Linked DNA regions of Canis lupus familiaris. The protein of the gene in region 1 binds, or shares a complex with, the protein of each later gene. Links are inferred from orthologs where the notes say so. Each region holds a gene or a part of one and is shown in the gene's direction. Other genes may lie near its edges.

Region 1 (4,403 bases):
TTCTTTAAAGTATAACCACATTGCATTCTAAATGTATTTTCCTGTCTCCTACTGGAGGTATGCTCTTCAGTCCCAGAGTCACTAAGCTACCTGTGGCTCTACTCAAAATGTGACTGCTCTGGATTAAGATGTCCAGACTTTCCAAAAAAAAAAAAAAGGAACTTATTAAAAATTTTGTATTGATTACATGCTGAAATAACATTTTGTGTTTTTTTTTTACAATTTTATTTTTTGACACACAGAGAGAGAGCATAAGTAAGCAGTGGTAGGCAGAAGAAGGAGAAGCAGGCTCCCTACTGAGCAGTGTGACCCATGCCAGGCTGGATCCCAGGGCCCTGAGATCACGACCTGAGCCCAAGGCAGGTGCTTAACCAACTGAGCCACCCAGGTGCCCCAACATTTTGGTTTAGGTTGTACTATTAAAGCTAATTTCATGTCATTGCATCCTGTATCATTTGGACAGCGCTGCTGAGAACACAAGCTCGAGCGGGAATGTGCGTCTGACTCAGACATTGCTCCGTCTGCTCTATCTCAGATCAGAAGCTCAATAAATATTTGCTCAATGAAGGAATCCAAAAGTAGAATGCTGGTCTTTTTCTTATCCTCTCTGTTCCGTCCGTCTAACCCAGGGATCAAAAAAAAAAAAAAATCAAATCAACAAAACTTTACTGAGATATTATTTCCATAAAATCCAACCTTTTCTAGTGAATTCAGCACGGCGTGCAACCACCGCCGCTCACTTCTAGAATCTTTCCATCACCCCAATCAGATGCCCTTATGCTCCGGTACGGGGGGGGGGGTCCCCATTCCCACCCAGGCGCCTGCAAAGCTGCTCTCGAACTCCTCAGATGGTCGGGGTTCACTTCCTAGGGGATGAGTTGCCCGTCTTGGGGGCTCTGGGGTAGCACCCTCAGGCCACGGCTCACCCCGGTCCCATCCCTCCGCCCAGCAGGACCCAGCGGGGAGCTGGACCCCCACCCCCACCCCCACCCCCGGCACGACGGGGCCGCGTAGCCGCATCTTCCCAGCCCACCGAAGAGCAGGTCTTCGCGGCTCCCGCTCGCGCCGCGGCTGCCTCGAGGGACCCCGAGACCCGGCCGGGCGGGACCCCGCCCTTGCAGCCCCCACCGCGGGCCACCGCAGCTCGGAGCGGCCGCTGGGAGCCCGAGTCCCCCGCCGCTGCGTTCTAACGCCGCCCTCCAGGAACAATGGCCGGAGCCGACCGACTCCGGGCCTCCGCGTGCGGGTGTCGGGGAGCCCGGAAGGCCGGCCCCTCGCCACCCCCGTCCCCGCCCCCGCCGCAGGCCCTTCCCGGGCTCCACTTTGACTCTCTCCCAGCCTCAACTGCCCCCCTCGCAAAATGGCGACCAACCGCCTCCTTTCCCGCCTGCCGTCGGTCACCTGACCGCACCAAGCCCCGCCCCTCGCGTGGCCCCGCCCCCTCCCGTCCGAGGCCCAATAGCTGCGGAGACCTCGCCGCCGGGCGGCACGCGCCGGGAGCCCGGGCGGCGCGAGGGGCGCGCGAGGCCGCCCTGGGTGTCGTGGGGGGACCCGCAGCCACGCACGCGCGCCCCCGCCGCGGGTGAGCGGGCCGCTCCGGGGGCGGGCTGAGGTGCGCGTGCGCGCCCGGAGGCGGGCGGCGCGAGGGGGGCAGGGGGCCGCTGGGAGGCCCGCCCGGCGCGAGGCTCGAGGCCGGCGCGCGAGCCCCCGGGGGCGGGTAAAACCCGGTTGCTGCTGCCCCTGCCCCCTCCCTTTCCTCCCTACCCCCCCCTTCCCGCCCCTCCTCACTTTTCAACCCCTCCCCCCCCTTAAAATCTAATTCGTTTATATATTTGTTTTTTAGGGGGCCCATCTCCCTTTCGAGGAGCGCAGCAGGCGCGGCGGGCGCCCCTCACCCCGCGTCACGCACGCACCTTCTGCACCCCAACAGCTCCGGGCCCCGCTGCACCCCGCAGGCCCTTCGCCCTTGGAGAAGGCTCTCCTGGGGGGGCCCCTGGCCCACTGCATCCCCTTCCTTACCTCCCCCGCCCCGCAGGCCCCAACTGCCCCCTCGCAGCCCCCCCCCGGCTCGCGCCTCGGGCCCTACCGACCTCGGCGCTTTCTGCACCGCGGCCTTGCATTCGCTCTAGCTTCCAGGCCTTCTGCTAAAAATCACCTTTCCTCCTGAATAGGGGACCCGAATTTTTCTTTTAGGATCTTCCAGCAAAACCAAAAATCTCTTCTCTTCTTTGATTATACCCTTCAACCTCCTTTTAGAAACTTTCTCTAGCAAAAAAGAATATAAATATATATATATATTTTTTTCTTTTCTGGATTTTTCCTCCATTCAGGATCTCTTTCCAGCAAAAATTTTCTGCCCACCAAGAGCCCCCCTTTTTGTCCTATCTTTCCACTGATAGCAGAGGAGCTCTGTTCTTCCAGTTTCTCATGTAATACTTGTTTTTCCAACGCTCTTCTCGACCTCTTCAGCAAAAATCCCTTTTTTGTCCATCACCAGTTTTACCCCAATTAGGCTTTTCCCAGCAAACCCCTCAGGTCCCTTCCCTAGGAAGGAAAGTAAGGAAAAGACAAAAATAACTCCCTTAACTGCAAAACCCTTTCCCTATCTAGATCTCCCCAATTTAGTATTGCTTCCTTCCTTCTTCCAAAAATTGCCTGTCATCCCCACAGTTTCACACCTGTGTGCTTGCTTCTTTGGGGACCCAAGTTCTGAATGCCCCTTCCTTTCCACCAGCTGCTTTCAGGACACAAGAAGTTGGATGAGTGTCCTGAATTTGCTACCCGGAGTTCCAGGAGGAAATATCCAGTGGTCTGACGGTCACCTGAACCCCCTCCCTGTGGGTCCTAAATTGGGCCCTCCTGTTCCCTGGAGATTCACTCATTTGTTCTTCTCCTGGTGAGTTTTCCCCTTTGCCCCTGTCCACAGATCCCTTCTTTGTCAGGATTCCTTCCTTTCTCAGAAGGATTTCTAATTGGCCCAAGTCTCTGTACCGATGATGAAACCATTATAAGTTTCTGCTTTGTGAGGTCAGATAAGGAAAAGGTTATGTATAGTGCATATTGGTAAATGCCTGCAGTGTGATGAACCAAAGGTCACGTGCCCCATCTAAGTGATACCAGTCAGTGGAAATGCCAGGACAGTGTTGCCAGAACTTTAAAAAAAAATTGTTTTTGAGAAGAGACACTATATTTATGTCAAACCTTTTGATCTGTAAATGGTGACAATGAATTTAATAGGTATTTAAAGGCAGTGTGGAGCCCTTACAAAACATGCCAGCTGGCCACCAGTTTGGAATATTTGGTTTAGGGTTTCTTTCTGTGTAAGACTTGCATACACAGATACTCACCCACTTGGGCACATGTGGATGCAGGACTTTTCCTCTTTACAGCCACAGTTCTCTAGCTTTTTGATCTTAGGGCTCCCCCCCTTATATTTAAAAATCATTGAAGATCCCAGAGAATTTGTGCACGTGAACTCTATACTGCTGATATTTGCACTATTAGAGGTTTAATACGTTTTTAAAATACTTATTCATTTATTTATTTATGATAGTCACACAGAGAGAGAGAGAGAGAGGCAGAGACATAGGCAGATGGAGAAGCAGGCTCCATGCACCGGGAGCCCAACGTGGGATTCGATCCCAGGTCTCCAGGATCAGGCCCTGGGCCAAAGGCAGGCGCCAAACCGCTGCGCCACCCAGGGATCCCTACTTATTCATTTAAAAATAAGTGATAAGCTTATTATGTTAACAAAATTGACTATTTTAAATATTTTTTGAAAGATGATATTTCAGAAAGAAATTTCGTGAGAATAGTGGCATTGTCTTACCTTTTGGAGTCACCTAGAATCTTATTTCTGCTACTGCATTCAGCCTTTTGAAATATTCCCTGTAGCTTCTGGAAAGTCTCACTGAGAATGAAAAAGGCAGGTAATGTCTGAATATTATTATGAAAATAGTTTTGACTCGAAGAATCCCTGCAAGACTCTGAGGACCCCCCAGGTTTCCCACCCCCATCCGCCTCACTTGGAAAACCTGCTGTTCTAGATGTTAATGCTTATTTGTATTTTATGCTAGGATCAGCTTTTGGAATGAGAAGGCTTGAGGTCTCTTTTCCTCCCTTAGTTAATTCTATGTGAGAAATTTTCTTAGAAAGCATAGTCATAGTTTTCTGATTCCTCCTTGTCTTCTATCTAGTTCTTAATGTGAGCTGTAAATCTGTTCTTTTAATGAGCAGAAGAGATGAGTTACCCTAATGGTTTAAATTATAATGGTTACATGATCAAGGGAGGGAGTGTTCTTTGGTTGTTCAGCTTAGGAAAGGACGTACGGCACATGGGGCAGGAGTCCCAGTCTCAGGTGTGGAATCCTACCATAGATGAGTGGTTACATGTGACGGTTTTG
Region 2 (4,364 bases), on another chromosome or scaffold:
CTCTCTCTCTCTCTGTTTCTCACGAAGAAATAAAATCTTAAAAAATAAAAAGGGTAACACAACATACTTACCATGCAGCATCTTCCTTTTGCTCATTCAATTTACGTAATAATATCTTAACGTTTTGTTTTTGTTTTTGTTTTTTGTTTTTCCCTTTGCCATAGCCTAGAACTGAAAAGCACAGACGGAATGGATGGCTTTGAATTTCAGGGCAGATGACATTTAGGTTTTTTTAAAAAATCATCTATCACTAAATTCACTCAGCAAGCCTGAAAGAACTTGCAAAAGAACCTGGTTCGTATTTTTATTTAAGCCAAAGGACGGCTAAACAGGACACATCCGATACAGTCACAGTGACGCGCAGCAACCGGCAAAGGCGCACGCGCTCCTATCAGCCGCTCCATTCCCCGGCCCCGCCCCCTACAAGCACGCGCCCACGGGCACGCACGCGCACTCACGCACTCTACACGCACAGGCGCGGGCGGATACACACACACACACACGCACGCACGCACTCTACACGCACAGGCGCGGGCGGATACCCCAGGAAATGCGGGTTCTTTCTGGCCTTTCACTCCGCAGAGAGAACGCCGGGAAGTTTCCGAGGAGCACTCACGCTAACTATATCGGGGCTCCACGTCCCCCTGGACAGGGTCCTGGATCCCACTTTTCTCTAGGGCCTTTAGAAGAGAAACGGTGAAGGTTGGGTGGGGGTGGAGGCGGAAAGAAGCCGCTCCACCGCAGGAAGCGGCCAACTTTGATCGCCCCAAAATGAAACCCGATCTTCGCAGGAACGTGCAAGGATTTAAAAACGGCCTTCAGCTGAGGCACTTGGGAAGCGGCCCTGTCACGGTCGAGGTCGGAAGGGCGTTTTTGCCTCAGCTGGTGTGTCAATGAATGGAACTGTGACCCGGGACCTGCGGCATCTCCCGGACCCGAAGAGCGCCAGCTTCCCCGAGTTCTCCTTGGTTTGGGTGTCCCACAAAAGCATGGCCACACCAAAAATTCTTTTTCCACAGTAAGAAAACGGCCCCGAAACTTTTTCACGCCGCACCTTCCCTCCTAGCTTCCCGCCCAGAACATTTTGCGCCTCGCCTCAGGAGCGGGGTGGCCGCTTTGTCTAGTAGAACGCCAACACTGCAGAATCCCGGTAGCGAAAGACGGAGCAACTTCCTGGGAGAGACTAGAAGCGAGAAAACATCACCACCCCTAACCACACGCCCCTGTTTTCCCACTGACTTAAAATAAATAAATAAATAAATTAGCAGCCGAAGCCCTGCCCGTCGCCGCGCGATGCATGCTAGCATAAGTAGTTCCAAGGCGCCCAGTTCGGGGTGGAACTCAGAGTGATTCCCCCTCAAAGAACTACAATTCCCATGGTGCCCTGCCACACAGTGGAAGGGGCGGGGCAGGAGAGGGCTCGTCGCGCGTGCGCAGGTCGGGGGGCCGGAGGGAGGCGGAGGCGCCAGGGTCCAACTGCTGAAGCGTCTCCATGTGACAGTGACCGGAGTCCTAACTCCTGGCGCCGCCCGGTTCTGGCTTCTGACCCCAAACGCTGTCCCCCATCCCGGCGCCAGCGGACAACAGCAGACCGGGACGCCTGGTGTGTGGCGGTGCCGCTGGAGGAATCGCCCCGGCGGGGTCAGGTGTCTGAGGGACCCCGCGGAGACCCCGGAGTCTCCGCAGAGAGGGGGAGCGGCGAGCCGAGCGGGGGTTTCTGTCGGCACGCGGAGACATGAATGGCTTCACGCCTGAGGAGATGAGCCGCGGCGGGGACGCGGCCGCCGCAGTGGCCGCCGTGGTCGCCGCCGCCGCCGCGGCCGCCTCGGCCGGGAACGGGGCAGGGGCCGGCGCCGGGGCTGAGGTGCCGGGTGCCGGGGCGGTGTCGGCTGCTGGGCCCCCGGGGGCGGCCGGGCCGGGCCCCGGACAGCTGTGCTGCCTGCGGGAGGACGGAGAGCGGTGCGGCCGGGCGGCGGGCAACGCCAGCTTCAGCAAGAGGATCCAGAAGAGCATCTCCCAGAAGAAGGTGAAAATCGAGCTGGAGAAGAGCGTGAGTGACGGCGGGACGGCCATGCCCTGCCCTGCTCTGGGGCTCCCGGAGCGGTGCCGACCGGGGTTCAGGGGCGGACGGTTCGGGGGTCCCCTAGACCTGGCTGTGGCGCGAGCCCGTCGCGTGGTCTCGGGTAGGACGCGAACCACAAAGTCGCCGCAACTCGGACCGCCTCCCCCGCAGACCCACGCCAGCCGGCCGCGGGTCCGCTGCTCCCCCCGCCCCCCCCCCGCCTCCTCTCCCTCGCGTGCCCACCCCCACCCTTCCTACCCAACCCCCGCGCACCCCCACCCCGTTCCGGGTGTCCGCCCTGCTCGCCGTCCAACCCCTTCCTCCTTCCCTGAGGTCGGGACACGAAACAAAGAGCACCGCGGCTCGGAGGGCCCGGAGTAGTTTTCTTGCAGCCTGTCCGCTCCTCCTTTGTTTTGCTGCCCAAGCTGGCGCGTGGCCCCGGGGAGCAACCCCCGGCTGTAGGCAAAAGTGTAGTCCTGCAAGCGAGGCCCTGGTGCCGCGGTGGAGACCGACTCCTCTGCTCGTCCGCCGGGTTGCGGAGGGAAGAGAGCCGAGCTCACCCCGCGCGGTGCAGACCGCCGGGCTGGTGGACGCCGCCAGCATCCAGCGCAGCTGCCGGGAATGTGGGGAGCCCGCTGCCTCTGCGGCGCTGCCACCCCTTCGGCAGCATCCGGATTTCCTTTACCGTCCTTGTTGTACACGTCCGTTTCTTGTGTTTCTTTGACCATCTGTGAGGTTTTCAGAAACAACCATTGGCACTTTGCGGAGTTTTGGCTGGCGGTGAATGGATAACAAGATGCCAGAACCTAGCATACGCCCTGCATAATTTTAACTTGGACTTCGTTTACAAGTTAAATTTCAAAGCCTTAGTCTTTAATCGCTTGTTGTTGTTGTTTTTTAAAGGAGTTTAAACTGTTAATAATGCAGCCCAGTATTTCAGATGTTACCATACAGCGCTCAAGACTACATTTAATTGAAGCTTTTGCAAAGTTTGTGATCTATTATGCCTGTTAAAGAGTTCTTCAGTCATGCTTGGGAGACACTTCTCAAGTAAACTTGAATAGTTTCACATTGCCTTTGGTTGAAAAAAACGTAATACAGACAAATACATTCATTAAATACTCAGAAGCTTGTAATTCAGATGTAAATATAAGTAGTATATGAAATCGGTAGCTCGTTTGTAAAAATGGATAGTTTTGTATCTGGATTATAATTTGAGTACTGAGAAAGGATATGAAGCTACTAAAATGTGCTCTTTAGAGAAAATACTGTCAGTAGCAGAATTGTGGGCAACATCATCTTTCCACTTATTAAAAAAACAGCGTGACCTAACAAATCTAATTCACCCTCACTACAGTTTAATTAAAAAATCCAGACAATTGCAATTTCTCATTCTGCTTGTCTGCTTCCCTTCCTTCCTTCCTTTCACTCCTCCCCACCCCACTCTCCAATCCTCTTAACCCTATTGTCAGACACGGTATGTTCTAACTGAATACAGGACTTAAGCATAGAAATATGCTGTTGTCTTAACAATGGCCTATTTTGACTTTTTATTTTTAATAATTCACTGTGCCCTATGTATTTTACTAATACGTAGACACGTTACATAATAATAAGTAGTCTGTGAAACTTTTTTGTTTTAGGCAAGGCATCTTTACATTTGTGATTATCATAAAAACTTAATTCAGAGTGTTCGAAACAGAAGAAAGAGAAAAGGGAGTGATGATGATGGAGGAGATTCACCTGTTCAAGATATCGATACGCCAGAGGTAAAGTTTCTGTATGTTAAATGTAAATCCTAAGTATTCCATTCTGAAACTTCTATTAAAAGATAGGAACAAATTTTAAAAATACTTAATGCGAAAAATCTGAAAATGAAAGCAAAATTAAATATAGCCAATTAATAGGCAGTTGTAGTTTGACTTATGTTTTCAATTCACAATGCTTATACCTCTATTGCCTTCTTTTTTTGCTCCCAGTTCTCAGTATTTACCTTCAAAAGATTGAAGTGCTCTATATATTTGTAGTTTTGATTATGTAAAAGAAGTAATGGAATGGAATTAATTAAATAATGTAATTTTTGTTACTTAATTACATTTTTGTTGTACCAAAATTGAAATGCTATTATGCATATCAAAGATAACAATTTAAAAATTGCATGAACTAATTCTTACATGTTTATTTTTTCTAGGTTGATTTATACCAATTACAAGTAAATACACTTCGGAGATACAAAAGACACTTCAAACTATCAACCAGACCAGGACTTAATAAAGCACAACTTGTTGAGGTATTTATGAAG

Evidence for each region.
Region 2: ZNF541 (region 1) and SAP30 share a complex: the UniProt entries of both Homo sapiens proteins name them as parts of the histone deacetylase complex. The link is inferred for Canis lupus familiaris from reciprocal best matches to the Homo sapiens genes ZNF541 and SAP30.

The regions. Positions count from the first base shown.
Region 1 is NC_049222.1:109,165,613-109,170,015, forward strand, and holds the start of ZNF541 (zinc finger protein 541), read left to right. Parts: upstream 1-1,537; 5' UTR 1,538-1,582; intron 1,583-1,676; exon of another isoform or gene 1,677-1,717; intron 1,718-1,851; exon of another isoform or gene 1,852-2,734; 5' UTR 2,735-2,896; intron 2,897-3,829; exon of another isoform or gene 3,830-3,910; intron 3,911-4,403. UniProt on the Homo sapiens protein: Transcription regulator which is essential for male fertility and for the completion of meiotic prophase in spermatocytes.
Region 2 is NC_049246.1:24,120,106-24,124,469, forward strand, and holds the start of SAP30 (histone deacetylase complex subunit SAP30), read left to right. Parts: upstream 1-1,421; 5' UTR 1,422-1,735; coding exon 1,736-2,050; intron 2,051-3,705; coding exon 3,706-3,831; intron 3,832-4,253; coding exon 4,254-4,352; intron 4,353-4,364. UniProt on the Homo sapiens protein: Involved in the functional recruitment of the Sin3-histone deacetylase complex (HDAC) to a specific subset of N-CoR corepressor complexes. Capable of transcription repression by N-CoR.